2 linked regions of the Arabidopsis thaliana genome follow. The protein of the gene in region 1 interacts with the protein of each later gene in a biochemical or structural test. Each region holds a gene or a part of one and is shown on either strand. Other genes may lie near its edges.

Region 1 (9,807 bases):
GTGGATGGTAGAAAGCATGAATGGCTCCAGATCGGAGGCACCCAGCGACAACAAAAGGGTTGCTTCAGGGCAGAGAGACTTGAGAAATAGGTGTGATGGAGTGAGTAATACCGCCTTGGGTGATGAAGGGTTGCTGGACAATCGCAGCTGGTGGAATGGTGTGACCAGAGGATTCTTCAGAACTGGGAGGCTCCATGACTCGGTACGTAAGTCAATGGCTCTTGTTGCTCATTTGTTGGCTAAGTTTCCTCTGGTAGTCATATTCCTGTTGATGGCTTTATATGCAATCCCTGTGAGTGCTGCAGTTCTCGGGGTTTATTTCTTTGTTACGTTTGCTTTGGCTGTCCCGTCGTTTCTCGTCCTTTATTTTGCCTTCCCGAGCTTAAACTGGCTGATCAGAGAGATTGCAACCTGACTCATTGTACTGTTTCTTTCTTCCTGTATGTTTCCTGACTTGTAAGAAACACGAGATAGAGCCAACGTTGTTTACACTCAATATAGACAAGAAGAAGAGAAGATCTTTATTTTCAGATTGTGTCTCTGTACATTGCGAACAAAACTACCTTTCTCTATCCCTATCTGTCTGATAACAATGAGGTTCTGTGTACAAGAAGAATCAGAAACAATGAAACGAAAAATGGTGAAGAAGAAAACTCTGTTGTTCTGTATAATAAATCTGAAAGAAGAAAAGAAAGAAAGATTTTTACATTTCTATGTAACCTTGTGAAGATAAGCCATTGAAGAGCTCTGCTTTACCGGATATCTTAACCAACATAGCTAGAACTTCTTTCATGTTTGGTCTTGCCTGAGGATGATCAGCTGTACACTTCACACCAATCTTTAGTAGCTCAGTCATTTGCTCAGCTCCGTTCCCTGGTTTGGTCCCTGACAGGGTTATTGGTGAACCTTTGGCTGTCATGTTACCTGTCATTACACGTCTTGCCCATTCGACCAAACACTCTTCTCCTCCATCAACAGCTCTTCTACCCGTCGCGAGTTCCATGGTCAATACTCCGTAGCTGTAAACATCTCCTCTTGTGGTGGCTTGCCAAGTTTGTCCATACTCGGGAGCTACATACCCGATTGTGCCTGCAATCACTGTGCTCACATGGCTATCTCCTACATTTAAGAGTCTTGCTAGTCCAAAATCCGTCACTCTCGCATTCCCGTGTTTATCCAAAAGAACGTTACTGGCTTTGACGTCTCTGTGAACGATGGAAGGGTAGCATTCGTGGTGTAAAAACACTAATCCCCTTGCTACATCTGTGGCTATATCAATACGTTTCTTCCATTGAAGTTTTGTTTTGTCTGTGATGAGCTCCTCTAAGCTCCCGCCTCCCATGTATTCGTGCACCAAGATTTTCTCTGACCCATCTAGGCACCATCCATATAGCCTCACGAGGTTCGGATGTGCCCAATCTCCAAATGCGTTGGCACTTAGAACTTCCATTTCAGCTCTGAACTCTTTCTCTGCTTCTGTGCCTTCCCTCTGAAGCTTCTTGACTGCAACTTCTCTTCCATCAGGCAATACGCCTCTGTAAACAGTTCCATAGCCTCCCCTACCTACCACTCTCTCCTCAGAGAAGTTACTGGTTGCTTTCAGAATGTCAGCGTATGTGAAAGTTGATTTGTCTAAGCGAATGACCTTGATTTTTCCTGATAGCCATGGCGATGATCCACCTGAACTGGAAGTCATGTCATGTCTGGTTTTCGACCCATCTAAGAGATCGATTTCTGCTTCCCTTGAAGCCTTAACAACCATAAGTACAATACCTGATACCACTAAACATGCAATAAACGCCAATGCAAGAGCCAAGGAAATCCAAATCAAAAGAAGAGTTCTTGGCCTGTTTCCTAGGACTTGGTTGGAAATCTTCCTCGTGTTGTTCCCTGATTGGTTGAAGAAACTAGGAAACCGCAGCAGCGGATTTCCAAGAAAGGAGTCTTTGTCAAAGGTTGCTACTTGTCCTGTTGTTGGTATCGCGCCAGAAATGAAAGGGTTATATGAGATGTTGAACTTACTCAGCTCATTCAAGTCATTCAAACTCGTTGGAAAGTTTCCAGAGAAATTGTTGAAAGACAGATCAAGATTCTGCAGGCACTTCAGATTTCCGATTTCTTGAGGAATCTCGCCCGAGAAATTGTTTCGAGTAAGGTTGAGGAATGCAAGAGGCAATTGTCCTATCTCTGGAGGCAGTTTCCCCTCAAACTCATTGAAACCCAAATGTAGTGTGCTCAGCCTGTCCATCTGAGAGATGCTTGCAGGAATCTCACCTGAAAACTTATTTCCACTGAGCTGAAGATAGGCTGAAATTTTAAGCGTGCGTACCGTGGAACCAGCAGAACAGACAGGAAAGAGACCGTACCCTTTGAGAACATGGTCCCATAGGCTTCTGCAACTCTTTTTGGTTAGAATTGCGTATACAAAGTTGAACGGAGGGAACTCCGCTGGAATCCATCTCTTCATCGCCAAGCATTCACCAGAACCAGCAATTATCTTGTCTTTGTTTTGCCTATTCACTTCAAATGTTGGAGAAGGATTACTCCCCATTCTAGTCAATTCAGGATGGAATCTACCAGAGAGCTGGTTGTTTGCCACGTTAAACCACAAAAGGCTTGTGCAGTTGCCAATCTCTCGAGGGATTTCTCCTGATAGAGAGTTGTTTGCAAGCATTAGCCACAAAAGAGAGGTCAATTTCCCAAATGAAGCTGGTATCGAACCGGTCAGCTTGTTAAAGGAGAGATCAAGTGCTTGAAGCCCCGGCATGTTCCCATACTCCTGTGGTATATCGCCACTGAAGTTATTATAAGCAAGAATCAAGAACTTCAAACTCTGTATCTGAGAAATTTCAGTAGGTAACTGTCCCGAGAAATTGTTGTAGCCCAAATCTAGCCTTGAAAGATTGGGTAACTTGAGGATGTTGGAAGAATTGATGCCTCCTACGTATGAGTTTGCATGCAAGACTAGATACTTTACTTGCGTGAATCTCCCAAAGATTTCTTGAATGTCTCCTCCAAATTTGTTTCTGCTCAAATCCAGAAACACCAAGTTGGTCAAGTTCAGGAGAGTTTCCGGTATGTCTCGAGAAAATGTATTATTCCCCAAGTACAAACCTTTGAGAGAGGATATGGAACCAATCTCAGCTGGAATGTTCCCTGTGAACTTGTTTCCCCAAAGATTCAGTACATTTAGATTCTGGCAATTCGAAACTTGGCCTGGAAATTCCCCACCAAAAGCGTTCCCAGACAAATCCAACATTTGCAAAGTACAGTTCCCCCTGAACATTGAAGCAGAGATATTCCCGGAGAGATGATTATCAGCAACTGAAAACTCGACCAGCCTCCCAAAACCAGTCCACACTTCTCCACTGAATCTATTGGAACTGAAGTCAACATACTTGAGATTCCTACACCCGTTGAAGATGTCATCGATTCTTCCAGTAAAGTTGTTGGTCGACAGATTTGCAACAACCAAACTGTTGCAGAACAATGGGAAGCTAGACTGAATATCACCCGTAATCCTATTCAACGAAAGATCAAGAACCTCAAGATTTGACAACCCGGGTAAACTTAGCTCTCCTTCAAGGATATTATGAGAAAGATTCAGATGCTTTAAGTTGTGACAACGGCTCAAGTCATCTGGAATCTCCCCTTCGATCGTATTCCTTGATAAATCGAGATATGTGAGCTCCGTTAAAGCGGAGAAGTTCTTGAATAGAGGACCTGAAATGGTGGAATCAGTTAGATTGATCCCTGTAACTCTACTTCTCTGAGGTGTACATATGATTCCAGGCCATTGACACACAACATCTTGGTTCTCCATTTTCCATTCCGTGTATAGTCCTCGGTTCTGTGGGTTCCGTGATTCAAGGTACGATTTTAGGCTTAACAAGACTTCTCTATCACTGTCCAGAGAATCTCCAGCCACTGCTATAGCTGCCATAGAAGAAAAACATCAAAAAACTCAGCTAAAATACTCATCAACGACATCAAACAGAGTAAAAATTAAAACTTTGCGATTCATTTACGTACAATGTAAAACCTTGAATTGATGAAAGCAATGAAACCCCCAAAAAATCACGTCAAATTTTAAAACCCTGAACCCATTTGAAGGAAACGTGAAAGAAACAGAAACCCAAAACTCATACTCAAGAAGAGAAGACATTACAATTCCCAAAAACTCTCAACGAAACTCAAATTCAAACAACAGAAGAAGAGAAGAAATTACCAGTGATGAAAAAGAAGAGTAAGAAACAAAGAAAGCAAAGTGACTGAGAATCATCATCCGTCATGATCACACGCGTCACCATAGTCATCGTCCTCCTCCACTTGGTCTTCTTGGTTTGCTTCTTTACTGTCCTCTGCGATGTTCCTCGAGAAGATGTGGAAATTATCGGGGAAGAAGATGAATTTCATGGAAATTCATGTGTGGAAAGAGATTTGAGAAAAAGAGAAGTTGGAAAAAAACACAAAGCAGCCCGCACGTAGACCAAGCAACTGAAAAACTTTGAACATCACACAGATTTATTCCTATTTATTAGACTTTTCCTCAAACACAAAAATTAATTACAAAAAGGTGAAATTGAGTCATCATATTATGCTAATTTTGACCCGTATAAACGTATATATTACGTTACTAGTCTTTATCAAAAATTTCTTAAGGAAAAATACCGCATTTGTTGAATATTTCAAAAATTGAACTTTGAAGTCGTTTAGAACAAAAACAAAATTGATGTTTTATCGACTAGATGAGTCTCATATGACTAAAACTAAACCATAACTCATTTTAGTTCTCCTTAGAAAAAGTAAACAATTACAAATATTGTTTTTGATTCACCATTAGCTTTTCTTTTAATTTGTACGGTACCACTTGCGCACTCAAGAACTTATCCTAGTGGGTAACATTTAATAAATTTTGACAGTTTGAACTTATATATATTGAAGTATGTGTGAGTTTAGAAATTTTAATCGTGTGATTTGGTTAAAAAAACCATAAAATTAGATTACTTTATTTAAGTTAACTCGCGAGGGCAACAATTAGGTGAGCAGTTGTGACATCTAAGTTGACCGGTCCAGAGTAGTTTGACTTCGTGTCAGAGTTGGTAAGTTTATGATAATAGATAAAACTTTTGCATAATGTAAATCTAAAAATTACGTTACATACAATATATGGTGAATGTGACTTATGTAGCATTAAAAGATATATTTGCTTCTCCAGAGATTTAAAAGTGTTATTTAACTAAGTTTTAGACGACTAAAGAGAAGAAATTGGCATCATTTTGAAATGTTCAAAAAATTAAAGATATTTTACTAAAAAGAGGTTAACAAAATATACATGTATATGGTGGGGTCCAATGTGATTCATATGGACGGCACTAGTTGACTTACTTCGTGCTTTGACCAATGTTTTTTTTTTAAATCATTGTTAATCATTAAATCTCATCTTATTCGTTTCTTTTGTTTGTTATTTATTTTCCCGTTATAAATATTTTTCTCTTACCTTTTTTTTTTCTTCGTGATAAGAGTCAAATGCGTGTATTATTTTACCTTGATTAGTCTAAGTATTCAATTAATTTTGAATTGAATAGTATAACACTTCGTGATAGACCATTGATATTTTTTTGAATTAGAAAATTCAGAGGCTACTATTCTCTTCCATAAAGAGAACAATATAAAAAAGGAATTATAGTTAATTGCTAAAATGATATTTTGTGTCATTAGAAACAAAATCTGCAAAAAGTAGTATTACTCAGAAACAAATCAAACTTTCAAAGTTGTTGATAGATGATATGCAACAAGATTTAGGATAATCATCTAATATTTTTTATCTTAAAAATAGTCTACTTATATGTTTATCAACTACAGTCATATTTCTATAACTTCAATTTTATTACTTTAAAGATACAGTAGTAGCTTCAAGCTTCAACTAATCATAGTAGGAAGTTGAATCACTCTCTTCTGCCACATATGTTTCAAGCATCCATGTTGTGTCTTCTGACACTAGAATGCATAATGATCAAAATTCTAAAAAAATCAAAGTGGTACCAATTTTAAAGTTATTAACTTCCACCAGTTGAAAAGAAAAAACTAAAGGAAACCTCCGATAAAAAAACAATGGTCCATTCAACAACACTAAGGACGTGTGAATGGTATTGAGCCAACATTGTTCATGCCAAAACAACTAAGGCAAACAACTAAGGCGACCAAACAAAAGAAAATTTTGCTATGAAATTTAAAAGTCCATGCCACTTGAAAGCCACGTCGTTTGTGCGTTTTGGTTTTTCTCTGCGTACCCATTTGTTGTTTTGATGTTTCCATTGGTCAAATTCAACATTATCACCTAAAATAACTTGCACATGCACGACACCAAATTAAATAGCTTTGGATCCAATAAGAGAAAGTATATATTGTAGGTACTAATATATCCACTCGCTCTAATCCGACCCAAACCCGAGTTCTTGAACCTTGAAACCTTTTAAACAATTAGAGGTTTAGGGGGTACGTAAACTTAAAACGTAGCTCAATATTAGATATTATTGTATTCGTGGGGGAATGAATATAAGCAAAGCATGAAGCAACGCATTTTACATATAAGAAAGTGTCAATTGATAGGAAACTGATAAACAATTGAACAAGTAGATGATGTCGGTCCACCGCGTAGGAAGAGCTGATCACTCATGTTTCTATCTTAATTATCAAACTGAATTAACGAATTTATTAATTTAATCATTTATCATTTAATGATATTTTTGTCTATATTTTTTCTTGCGCTTTCATGGTAAATGAAACTGCCTCATTGTTGCGTACTAAATTACCTGTAAGTCTGTTATAAAAAAAATGTTTAAAACATAAATATTCTACAACTAAAGGTGTCAAAATGTAATTTATAGAAGTAAGCAATAGTTTATGTTATTTCATAAATAGTCCCTCCTTCCTTCCTATTCTCAAGTCACGAGTTCTTCTTCTCAATCTCGAGTAATTCACTGTGCAAAGCAAGAGCTTCTTCGATTTCTATCTCTCAGACCAATCGTGCTTTTCGCATCCCTGAACGTAAGTTTCCTTCCATTTCTGTGTTGATTTAAGCAAAGAGATTGATAAAAACCTGATTCGTCCCGTTTCATTGTAGAAACTTTGTACTGGCTTAGTCGGGATATAATCGCATAGGTTTTAGAATTAGGAATCGGAATTTTAACTTGATGTTTAGGAAACGGAACCTAGTTTTAGATTTGTTGCGCCGATGTTACATAGAAACCCTAATCCCACGGGGCTTATGGAGTCGCACAATCTCCACGTTTCCCAAATCGGCTCTGCTTGCAACAGATAATGCAGAAATGGCTAGTAAGGAAACTGGAATGTTTTCACTAGCTGGGGAATTAGCTTCTCTTGTAGAAGAATCTTCTTCTCATGTTGATGATGATAGCAAACCTAGAAGTCGTATGGAACTAAAACGATCTCTTGAACTCCGGTTGAAGAAAAGAGTCAAAGAGCAGTGCATCAATGGGAAGTTTAGTGATCTGTTGAAGAAGGTGATTGCAAGGCCTGAAACTCTCCGGGATGCTTATGATTGTATTAGGCTTAACTCCAATGTTTCTATAACAGAAAGAAATGGTAGTGTCGCGTTTGATTCTATTGCAGAAGAGCTCTCTAGTGGGGTGTTTGATGTTGCTTCAAATACGTTTTCGATTGTGGCTAGAGATAAAACAAAAGAGGTCCTTGTCTTGCCTAGTGTAGCTCTTAAAGTTGTCCAAGAGGCTATCAGAATAGTTCTTGAAGTTGTTTTCAGTCCTCATTTTTCTAAGATTTCACATAGTTGTCGAAGCGGAAGGGGACGTGCCTCTGCATTGAAGTACATCAACAACAATATTTCTCGTTCGGATTGGTGTTTCACTTTGAGCCTGAACAAAAAACTTGATGTTTCTGTTTTCGAGAACTTGCTCTCTGTAATGGAGGAAAAAGTAGAAGACAGCAGTTTAAGCATCTTACTCCGTTCTATGTTTGAAGCCCGGGTGCTCAATCTCGAGTTCGGAGGATTTCCCAAGGGCCATGGTCTTCCACAAGAAGGGGTGTTGTCCCGTGTATTAATGAACATATATCTTGATCGGTTTGATCATGAATTTTATAGAATCTCAATGAGGCATGAAGCCCTTGGTCTTGATTCAAAGACTGATGAAGATAGCCCAGGCTCAAAACTTCGTTCCTGGTTTAGGAGGCAAGCCGGAGAACAAGGTTTGAAAAGTACTACAGAGCAGGACGTTGCACTCAGAGTTTATTGCTGCAGATTTATGGATGAGATATATTTCTCTGTGTCTGGTCCCAAGAAAGTTGCAAGTGATATCAGATCTGAAGCTATAGGTTTCTTACGGAACTCACTGCATTTGGACATCACAGATGAGACAGACCCGTCACCATGTGAAGCGACCAGTGGGCTTCGTGTTTTGGGTACCTTGGTTAGGAAAAATGTTAGGGAGAGTCCCACTGTCAAAGCTGTTCACAAGTTAAAGGAGAAGGTTAGGCTCTTTGCATTGCAGAAAGAAGAGGCTTGGACCTTAGGTACAGTTAGAATTGGAAAGAAATGGTTAGGACATGGATTGAAGAAAGTCAAAGAGTCAGAAATCAAAGGTTTGGCGGATAGTAACTCTACCTTGAGTCAAATATCTTGCCACAGAAAGGCAGGCATGGAAACAGATCATTGGTATAAGATCTTGCTTAGAATATGGATGGAGGACGTGCTAAGAACCTCTGCAGATAGAAGCGAGGAGTTTGTCTTGTCCAAGCATGTTGTAGAACCTACTGTTCCTCAAGAACTAAGAGATGCGTTTTACAAGTTCCAAAACGCTGCTGCGGCATATGTTTCATCAGAGACGGCTAATCTGGAAGCGCTTTTGCCATGTCCACAATCTCATGATAGACCTGTTTTCTTTGGTGATGTTGTCGCTCCGACTAATGCTATAGGAAGGCGTCTTTATCGCTACGGATTAATAACAGCCAAGGGTTATGCTCGTTCAAATTCTATGCTTATTTTGCTAGATACTGCCCAAATAATTGATTGGTATTCAGGACTTGTTCGGCGATGGGTGATTTGGTATGAAGGCTGTAGTAATTTTGATGAGATAAAGGCTCTTATTGATAATCAGATCAGAATGTCATGCATCCGTACTTTGGCAGCAAAATATCGAATACATGAAAATGAAATAGAGAAACGCCTTGATTTGGAACTGAGCACTATTCCCTCTGCTGAAGATATAGAACAGGAAATACAACATGAGAAACTAGATTCTCCTGCTTTTGACAGGGATGAACATCTAACATACGGCCTTTCCAATAGTGGTTTGTGTTTATTGTCTTTAGCTCGATTAGTGAGCGAATCAAGGCCTTGCAATTGCTTCGTAATTGGTTGTTCGATGGCTGCACCTGCTGTTTATACTTTACATGCAATGGAGAGACAGAAGTTTCCAGGTTGGAAAACTGGATTTTCTGTTTGTATTCCTTCTAGCTTAAATGGAAGGAGAATAGGGCTGTGTAAGCAACACCTCAAAGATCTGTATATAGGTCAAATATCACTTCAAGCTGTTGATTTTGGAGCCTGGAGATGATTACTACTCTCCACGACAAGAGTCTTGCAAGTGTTTGATTCTTCCTAGGTCAACTCTGATTCGTTTTAGGCAGTTGTTGAGCTTTGTGTATCTGATGTCTAGCAAATCATATGTCCGGTGATTATCGTTCTTCAAATGTTTTAATTTCTAGAGGCCTTGTGCAGTAGCACAGTTTGCATACCCTCAGAACATAAAACCATGGCATTAGCTGGTC
Region 2 (8,724 bases), on another chromosome or scaffold:
AATGTTTGTTAATTACGTTTATTCAAATTGTGTAAGGGTGGTACAATAAGTCAATCAACCAAAGTGGATGAACACATAATGACCAAAAAAAAAAGAAACTTTCTTTTTTCTTTTTATTGTAGTAATGAATTATTACTACGTTAACTATGACATTATCTATAGTACACACTAAATTTTATTAGAATCATCGTTCTGTCACCATCTAAATTAAAATTAAATTATTAGAATGCTAAGTGTCATATCATATGATTTAGCTATAAATAGTTAACCAAAAAAAGAAGCTATAAACATATAATACTTTATAATCTTCACTTCATTTACAAAAATATACTGCTAAAACTGTAATTTGGTATAAGAACAACTGATACTTGAATTTCAAATTATTTAATTAACAGATCAAGTCGAATATTTTATAAATATTATCAAAAGCTGATTAAAACAACAGAAAGACTCTTTTCATTCTCGTTACTCAAATCGCTCTGTTGACGTACATAAACAATTGTGTTTACTCCTCTAAGTCTATCTCATATTGACTTACATAAACAATTGCCCAACAAATGTCTATATTCAATTAAAAGCAACAAAGAAAAAACACTAACTAAAAAAATAGAATCATAATCTGAAACGAAAACTAACTTTTTCTTTGTCTCAATGCCGATCAATTAGCCTCCATGAGCAGTAATCCTACAATTATAAAGAAACGTATTATAATGGTTAAAACTCTTGTCATCAATCCAAAAACACTCATACTTAATCTTAGATCTCAATTTGAGATAAATTCGAAATAAGCCTAGATTTCTAAGTTACAACAAATTTTATTGATTTTAATCAAATAATAAAAACATATAAATAATTATTTCATTCACATAAATATATCTAAGAAAGATAGACACACATAATTAACAAAAGATAAACTAAATCGTATTAGAGTCATCATTTTGTCACCATCCAAATTCAAATTAAACTATTAGAATGTTAAGTGTCATATCATGTGGTTTAGCTATAAACATGTAATACTTTATAATCATTTTAAGTTATTTCTTATTACCATCATTCACTGGAATTTGTTTTACAACTTTTGTACAGTTGATCTTTAATAAATGAGCTAAAACTAAATAGAAGATTTTAAATTTTGATGATTGTCTATATATTTAGTGTAAAACAGTAAATGAAAGGCAAAAAAGCTGCAAATCAGATTCTGAATAAAAAACATGTTATGACGTCTAATCAAAGTTTTAGGATCCGAGAAGTTTACTTTTCTTGAAACACAATAATCGAAAGTTTTGTTTAATCAAAAGAAGCTCATAAATAAATTCTAGGATCCTAAATAGCTAAGTAAAAAACAAACTGAAATAGATTACAATGAATTCATACATTACATTTTTGTAGTTTGAGACCCTAGAAATACGATCTTGTTCCTCCTCTTTTGTTTATAGGCTCAGTTTTAAACCTTAATAAATTAATAATCTCGGAACCGATAAATTCTAATTAATTTATAAAGGTATTAATTTATTAATAAATCTTATAGAGAGATTTTATTAATTTTGTAATTTTTTAAAATTTCTATGTGAGAAGTAGTTTTTGTCTTTATAATCAATGTCTTTCAAAAATAAATTACAAATAAAAAACCAATTGTTAAGTTAGTAAACAAAAAACACTTTGTTCAATATAGTAAAAATATTAGAAATGAACTCTACTAAAAATTTTATACAAATTTAAGAAAAATGAACAATACTAGAGTTAAATCCCACTAATTTAATTAAATATATATATATATATATTAATAAGTGTAAAATTATTAATTTATGATATTGATGAGATCATATGTTTACGTAAGAGTTTTTAAAAACTTATTATTTTATAATTTCATTGATTTGTGTTATTTATTACATTGAAAACGTCAAGAATTTATTAATTTGTAAAAATAGTAATTTATCGAGGATTAGTTTATAAATAATTTACTGTATTAGCATTCACAAGGAATAAGCATAGTACATATATGTCCCAATGTTAAGTAAATCATTTTTTGTATAATTACTTGTCAAAAAAAAAAAAAAAAAAAAAATCATATAGAAACTAAAATATTTGGAAATATATATGGACTCAAAGGTTGTACAATTTTGGGCCTAACCGTATTATATATAATATACGGGCTAAATGTTACACGTATGAAGCCCAAAATAACCTCTCTTTTTTTTTGTCAAACTTGATTTGTAATTGAATTTTAATAAAATTAAATAATTGAATTTTAATAAAAATTAAATAATTGAATTTTAAATGCATATTTTTCGATAAAAAAAAAATGTCTGTTGCAGAAAATATTAAATGATACTTTCGCAGTGACGATTATTCCAAGGCCGTTTGCATGTGCAGATGTGCTTGATCATATAAAATCCATTCAAATTTTCTAACATTAGTAAATGAACAGTTCATCAGAATAAAAGAAACAGCTCGACATTTGGTAGAATCTCTAACCACACTTTTAAAGAAAAGACACAAACCTAATGGCTTCTCTCTCTCTCTCGAAGACAAAACACGACATAAATTTCTTAATCCTCATTACCTATCACCGACAAGTAATGAAACATCTCTATAATCTTATCTGATCAATCATATATAACCAAAAGCACTTGTTTTACTAATAAAACAAAGCAAAAATCATGTGAAATACAAGTTCTTATTGTTAATTTGTTATAGTAGTAATCAAATCAAATAAATAAACATTTCATCTTCTTGGATTCATTGCAAAACAGTCTGTCAAGTTGAGGTTGTGCAATGTGCAGTAATGAACAAACAACCAAACCAAGTTTAAGAACTTAAAGATTGCATTTATTGCCTCCACCTTAATTGGCTTTTCTACTTTCATTTACTTCTTCTTCTTCTTCTCTTGATCCAAAGTTTTCCTCTACACTACCTATAGATCTGTCTTTGTTCCTAGAAAAATGATAACTTTCAGTGAGTTTCTGTTTCTCTAAAGGCAAAACACATCTTCACTATGCAGATTTCTCTTCAAATCCATTTATCTTCCTTCACTTTTCTTCTTCTTATTTTCCTTCTTCCAGTACTCTCTGAGTCTCAGGTAGCTTCAAGTGAATCACAAACTCTTCTTGAAATCCAGAAGCAACTACAATATCCACAGGTTCTTCAATCATGGACTGATACAACCAACTTCTGTCACATTCGTCCGTCTCCTTCCTTGAGAATCATCTGCCTCCATGGTCACGTAACAGAGTTAACCGTCACCGGGAACAGAACTAGTAAGCTCTCTGGAAGTTTTCATAAACTCTTCACTCTTCTTACACAACTATCGAGCTTAAAGACTTTGTCTCTTACTTCTCTCGGAATTTCTGGTTCTCTTTCTCCTAAGATCATCACTAAGCTATCACCGTCTCTTGAGTCTCTCAATCTTAGCTCTAATTTCATCTCTGGGAAGATTCCAGAAGAGATTGTGTCTTTGAAGAATCTGAAAAGCCTTGTTTTAAGAGACAATATGTTCTGGGGTTTTGTCTCTGATGATCTCAGAGGATTATCAAATCTTCAAGAGCTGGATTTGGGAGGTAATAAACTCGGTCCTGAAGTTCCTTCACTCCCAAGTAAGCTCACCACTGTTTCATTGAAGAACAACTCCTTTAGATCCAAGATTCCAGAACAGATCAAGAAGCTGAATAACCTTCAAAGTTTAGACCTTTCTTCCAACGAATTCACCGGGTCGATTCCAGAGTTTCTGTTTTCGATTCCTTCTCTTCAAATTCTCAGTTTGGATCAGAATCTGTTAAGCGGGTCACTTCCAAATTCTTCTTGCACCTCCTCAAAGATTATAACTTTAGACGTGTCTCACAATCTTTTAACTGGAAAGCTTCCTTCTTGCTACTCTTCAAAGAGTTTCAGTAATCAGACAGTGCTTTTCTCATTCAACTGCTTGTCTTTGATTGGCACTCCTAACGCGAAGTATCAGCGTCCGCTTTCTTTCTGTCAAAACCAAGCAAGCAAGGCAATAGCTGTGGAACCTATCCCCAAGGCTAAAGATAAAGATTCTGCAAGAATCAAACTCGGGTTAGTGATTTTGATAATCATCGGTGTGATCATCCTTGCAGCAATTTTGGTTCTGTTGGTTTTGATTGCCCTCAAAAGAAGAAGATCAAGATCAGAAGATGATCCTTTTGAAGTGAACAACAGCAACAATGAGAGACATGCCTCTGATAAAGTCTCTGTTTGCAGCACCACAACTGCCAGCTCTAAGTCATTACCAGATTCAAGTAAACAATGACTTATCTTATTAATACTTGGACACTTGAAACTGAGTCTTTCTCTAGCAAAAACCATTAACAGGATCTTTCTGAGTGTAGGACGTGTACCACAGACAATGAGATCTGCAGTGATTGGTTTGCCACCGTACCGCGTTTTCTCCTTGGAGGAACTGGAAGAAGCGACTAACGACTTTGATGCAGCTAGCCTGTTCTGCGAACAGGTAAAAACAAAAACTTGACTTGAGACTCTGGCGACGAACCTAATAGATTACTTAATATATTTGGTATTCGAACAGCTGTATAGAGGTTGTCTAAGAGAAGGCATACCAGTGACAGTGCGAGTTATCAAGCTGAAGCAGAAGAGCTTGCCACAAAGCTTAGCTCAACAGATGGAAGTTTTATCAAAGCTAAGGCATATGCATTTGGTTAGCGTTCTTGGACACTCCATTGCCAGTAACCAAGACCACAATCAACACGCTGGACACACCATCTTCATTGTTCAAGAATACATCTCTAGTGGATCATTGCGGGACTTTCTCACAAGTAATAATAACCTGAAAAAGATTAGAATATATATTCAGGTTTCCATAGACTCAAATGGTTATTCATTATGGGAATTTTTGTGATCAGACTGTAGGAAGAAAGAGGTACTGAAATGGCCTCAGAGAATGGCGATAGCAATAGGAGTCGCTCGAGGGATACAGTTCTTGCATATGGGAGTAGCACCAGGAATCTTTGGGAACAATTTGAAGATAGAGAACATCATGCTTGATGAAACACTCACAGTAAAAATCAGTGGCTATACTATTCCTTTACCATCCAAGGTATAAAACTTTGTTTTATTTCTTCTTCTATTAATTGAATCTAAGAAAATTTAATGGCATTTCTAGGTTGGAGAAGAGAGGCCTCAAGCCAAAAAACCTCGGAGGTTGTTGTTGTTTCTTAAGATATGATCAAATGTGTTCTCTTCTATCAAATTTTGAAACTTGTTAATGAATAATGTGCAGTAATGAAGATAGAGAGAAAGAAGATGTGTACCAGTTTGGAGTGATACTACTACAAATCATCACAGGGAAAGTAGTTGCTGCAGGATCTTCAGAGATGGGAAGTTTGAAGCTTCAGGTCTGTTCTGTTTCAGTCAGAACCTTTTCATCTTTAAGAATCCGACACGGCTTACAAATTTAGAACCTCAATGTTATTATTTCCTGCAGCTGGAGAACGGTTTGAGAGATGAACCATCAGTATTGAGCAGCTTAGCAGATCCATCTGTTAAAGGATCATATGCTTATGAGTCGTTGAGGACGACAGTAGAGTTTGCTATCAACTGTCTTTGCGAAGATCAGAGCAAGCGTCCTTCCATAGAAGACGTTGTGTGGAATCTACAGTATACAATTCAAGTGCAGCAAGGATGGAGACCAAGCAGTGGGAATCATGAATCATCCATGAAAGCAATATATGAATGAAATGATCATAAAGAGAGGCAAAAACTGTAGAAACAATAATAAGTTTCAAACAAGTCAAGATGTAGTTTCATGGACTACCTGAAATATCTTTTATTAGCTAACTTAGTAATCTGTGAATAAAAAGCAAAAGGAGTTGAAAAACACACAAAGACATGTAAGAGAGTGTGTCCAGCTTTGCTCGACAACATTGCAGACTCTTCTGTTGTATTCGCGCTTGCTTTCGCTGAACATTCGTGCATCTCTTAAAACAAATCAGCAGTCTACAATCTTGCTAACCTGCTTGATGAAGACATCAAAATCTTCAAAAACCTTCACAGGTTCTTTATAACAAGAATCTCTGTGCCTGGAATACTATAGAAAATCCCAAAAGTTACTGCAAACCTCTCACTATGCTCACGTCTAACCTCTCCATCTCAACCACACTCCGTGTTTCGGGCAATCTCCAATACAGAAGTCTCTACCTCATCCAGCATTCTATAAACTTCCTTTGTTATGACTTGTATCGCTAGCTAAAAACAAGTGCTTGTGTTCCACATAACTATAATAACCATAGCTATACCCAGGTTAGGTAAGATGTCGAAAACAGCAAGTGGCTTTGCCAAGTTACCTCACCTAGCATACATACTACTGATCAATGCATTTTCGCTCACAAAACAAATTTTGTTACAATACCATTGGCTTTTACTAGCTTCTTACTTCTTGACCAATCTCTTGAGCCTCCAAGATAGATAGGCACAAGAAGACAGGATCATGACAAACGCTCGATGATCACAAACACATACACACCAGCTTCCTTCATTCGAGTTTGATATGTGAGCTCTCGTAGACGCACGTTCCATGGCGTCGAGAAGCCACCGCAGCGACGGTCATGGATATTGGCACTTTCGATGAGCTTGGCGTGTGGGGTATTTGTTTATGTGTCTATGAACCATTTATTGGCAAAAGGGTATCGACCAAACAAGATGGTCCATGTGGATGAGCCTGGTTATAAGTTTTTGGCTGTGTTGTTTGAAGTTGTTGTCATTGCCATTGTTATGATATGGGACACTTGAAAAAAACACCAATTGACTCATTGATTTCTCAGGTTTGTAAAGAAAGGATGTTGATTTTGAATTGTTTATAGCAATCCTCGTATTGTAGTGTACTTTGTAGTTTGTAGCATCAAAAATAACAACAACAATAGTAGAAGAGATGTTTCTCTTTTTTTTTTTTTCGCCAGAAGAGATGTTTCTCTCTTATTCCATTTTGACAAGGTTTATCTTAACGGTACAGTATAAAGATGGGCCTATAATTGTTGAGTTGGGCCTGTAGTGGCCTTGTAGGTGTTGTTATTGGCTTCATTTGGGCCCGCCACTAGAACACCAAATGGACCAATGGGTGATTTATTTTGGATATCAGTAGACCAAAAATTATATCAAATTATAAATTTGGGTCTGATTTGTATCAGTGGACTGATATCTTTGATACTCAGTATCATGTGACGTTGCAGCATACGGTTGGTCAATATTTTCGCTCAAATCAGAGAAAAAAAAAATCTTTAGTAATCTTATGTTATAATATATTAATTTTTGAATTTGCAAAAAAAATTTTTTTATACTTAACCGGTCTCACCAATATAATCATATTTAGTAGGAGTATCATAAAAAATCTCAAATAAAAATCAAATATTATAAATAATACTAAAAAATTACTCATGATACTATATAAGTATCACCCCATATCATGCTCTTAGAATTGTGAAACTTATAAAACTGGTCTTTTTGTTAGGCAATGGTGAGGCTTTTTTACTTTCAGGTTTAAAAAACATGTTGAAGCATTAGAGTGTTGATGAATATAAGTTTCCCTAGTAAATAGTATCTTCAGTCTCAGTCGTGGAAGGTGTAGAAATGGGAAAATCTCATAGAAGAAGTAATTATGAGTCATCGTAAACTAGAAAGAAGACGAAAAGATAGCATTACGATAGTATTGATGACGTTCTGGTTTCGTAATTAAAGTGTTTTCATTTCCCAATACAAATGACTTTTGATATTTCTTCTCTAATAAAGAAAGTCGCTTATAAATCTCAATCATAGCGAGAAGTTTTCATTTCTTCTAAACTTATTCAAAACCCTAGTTTATTCTTACAATAATCCTTCTGATTTAGCTATGGAAGATTCCGGCATGAAATGTGTCTTTGTAACTACTAATATGGATACTCGTCTGGGCCTTCTCATGGACAAGGATGATACTGTATCTACATTCAAAGGTGACTCTTCATAATCTCTGTTTTTTTTTGTTTTTGAGTTTTGCATCTTTTCTAACGAAACTAATGTTTCTTTTTGTTTGTTTATATACAGAGAAAATCTGCAAAGAGCATGAACAGTGTTTCCCTAGTTTTGGAAACATCACTATCTCCGCTTTGAAGGTTACAATGTTTTCTTCATACACACTGACAGTTTTCTTGTTTAAGAAACAACAACTCAAGGAAGGTTTGTTTTTTGTTTTATAGGTTAACTGTTGCGGTCAACTTTATCATTTAGTTGATTCTCTGACTTTGAACACGGCTTTCCAAAGCAACGAATCGTTTCTTTTTGTTGATGTGCTGAGGGTTGAGGAGAAGGGTAAAATGCTGACTGGAGAAACTCCTTTGTCAAACCCTAGTTTACTTGAGAGAGAGACCAATGATCTGACTATTAAGGAAGCTCCGGTAACCCAAGCTGGTGATGATAAAACTAAAAAGAGGAAACTGAAAAGTTTGGATAGTACCAAAAGAAGTCATAAGAAACGATCTCTTGGGGATCAGTCAAGTGGAAAAGGAGAGGTTGAGTCTTTGGCAATGTCACCAACAGGAAAAGGTAACATCTGTTTTTTTTTCTTTCTCTATTGTGGTCTATGGAGTATATAGCTGATGTTATTGGAGAGTATTAGTCAAGTTACATTTGATTGTACGATCAGCTTTTATTAAGACATTATAAGGGTGATGTTATTCTTGAAGTAACGTTCGAAACTGAATTAGCTGAGAGGCGTGAGACTGT

What was found.
Region 2: the proteins of AT1G74360 (region 1) and AT2G02780 form a complex in vitro, tested with the Arabidopsis thaliana proteins (one large-scale study listed by BioGRID).

Annotation. Positions count from the first base shown.
Region 1 is NC_003070.9:27,948,808-27,958,614, reverse strand, and holds AT1G74360 (Leucine-rich repeat protein kinase family protein), read right to left. Parts: upstream 4,487-9,807; 5' UTR 4,317-4,486; coding exon 4,229-4,316; exon of another isoform or gene 3,937-4,228; coding exon 704-3,936; 3' UTR 501-703; downstream 1-500. Other genes in the region: AT1G74370 (RING/U-box superfamily protein), read left to right, coding at 1-415; AT1G74350 (Intron maturase, type II family protein), read left to right, coding at 7,332-9,593.
Region 2 is NC_003071.7:778,918-787,641, reverse strand, and holds AT2G02780 (Leucine-rich repeat protein kinase family protein), read left to right. Parts: upstream 1-2,719; 5' UTR 2,720-2,995; coding exon 2,996-4,256; intron 4,257-4,346; coding exon 4,347-4,468; intron 4,469-4,543; coding exon 4,544-4,790; intron 4,791-4,877; coding exon 4,878-5,071; intron 5,072-5,137; coding exon 5,138-5,175; coding exon of another isoform or gene 5,176-5,200; exon of another isoform or gene 5,201-5,254; coding exon 5,255-5,369; coding exon of another isoform or gene 5,370-5,432; exon of another isoform or gene 5,433-5,458; coding exon 5,459-5,710; 3' UTR 5,711-5,968; downstream 5,969-8,724. Other genes in the region: AT2G02770 (4'-phosphopantetheinyl transferase domain protein), read left to right, coding at 7,856-7,955, 8,047-8,114, 8,199-8,544.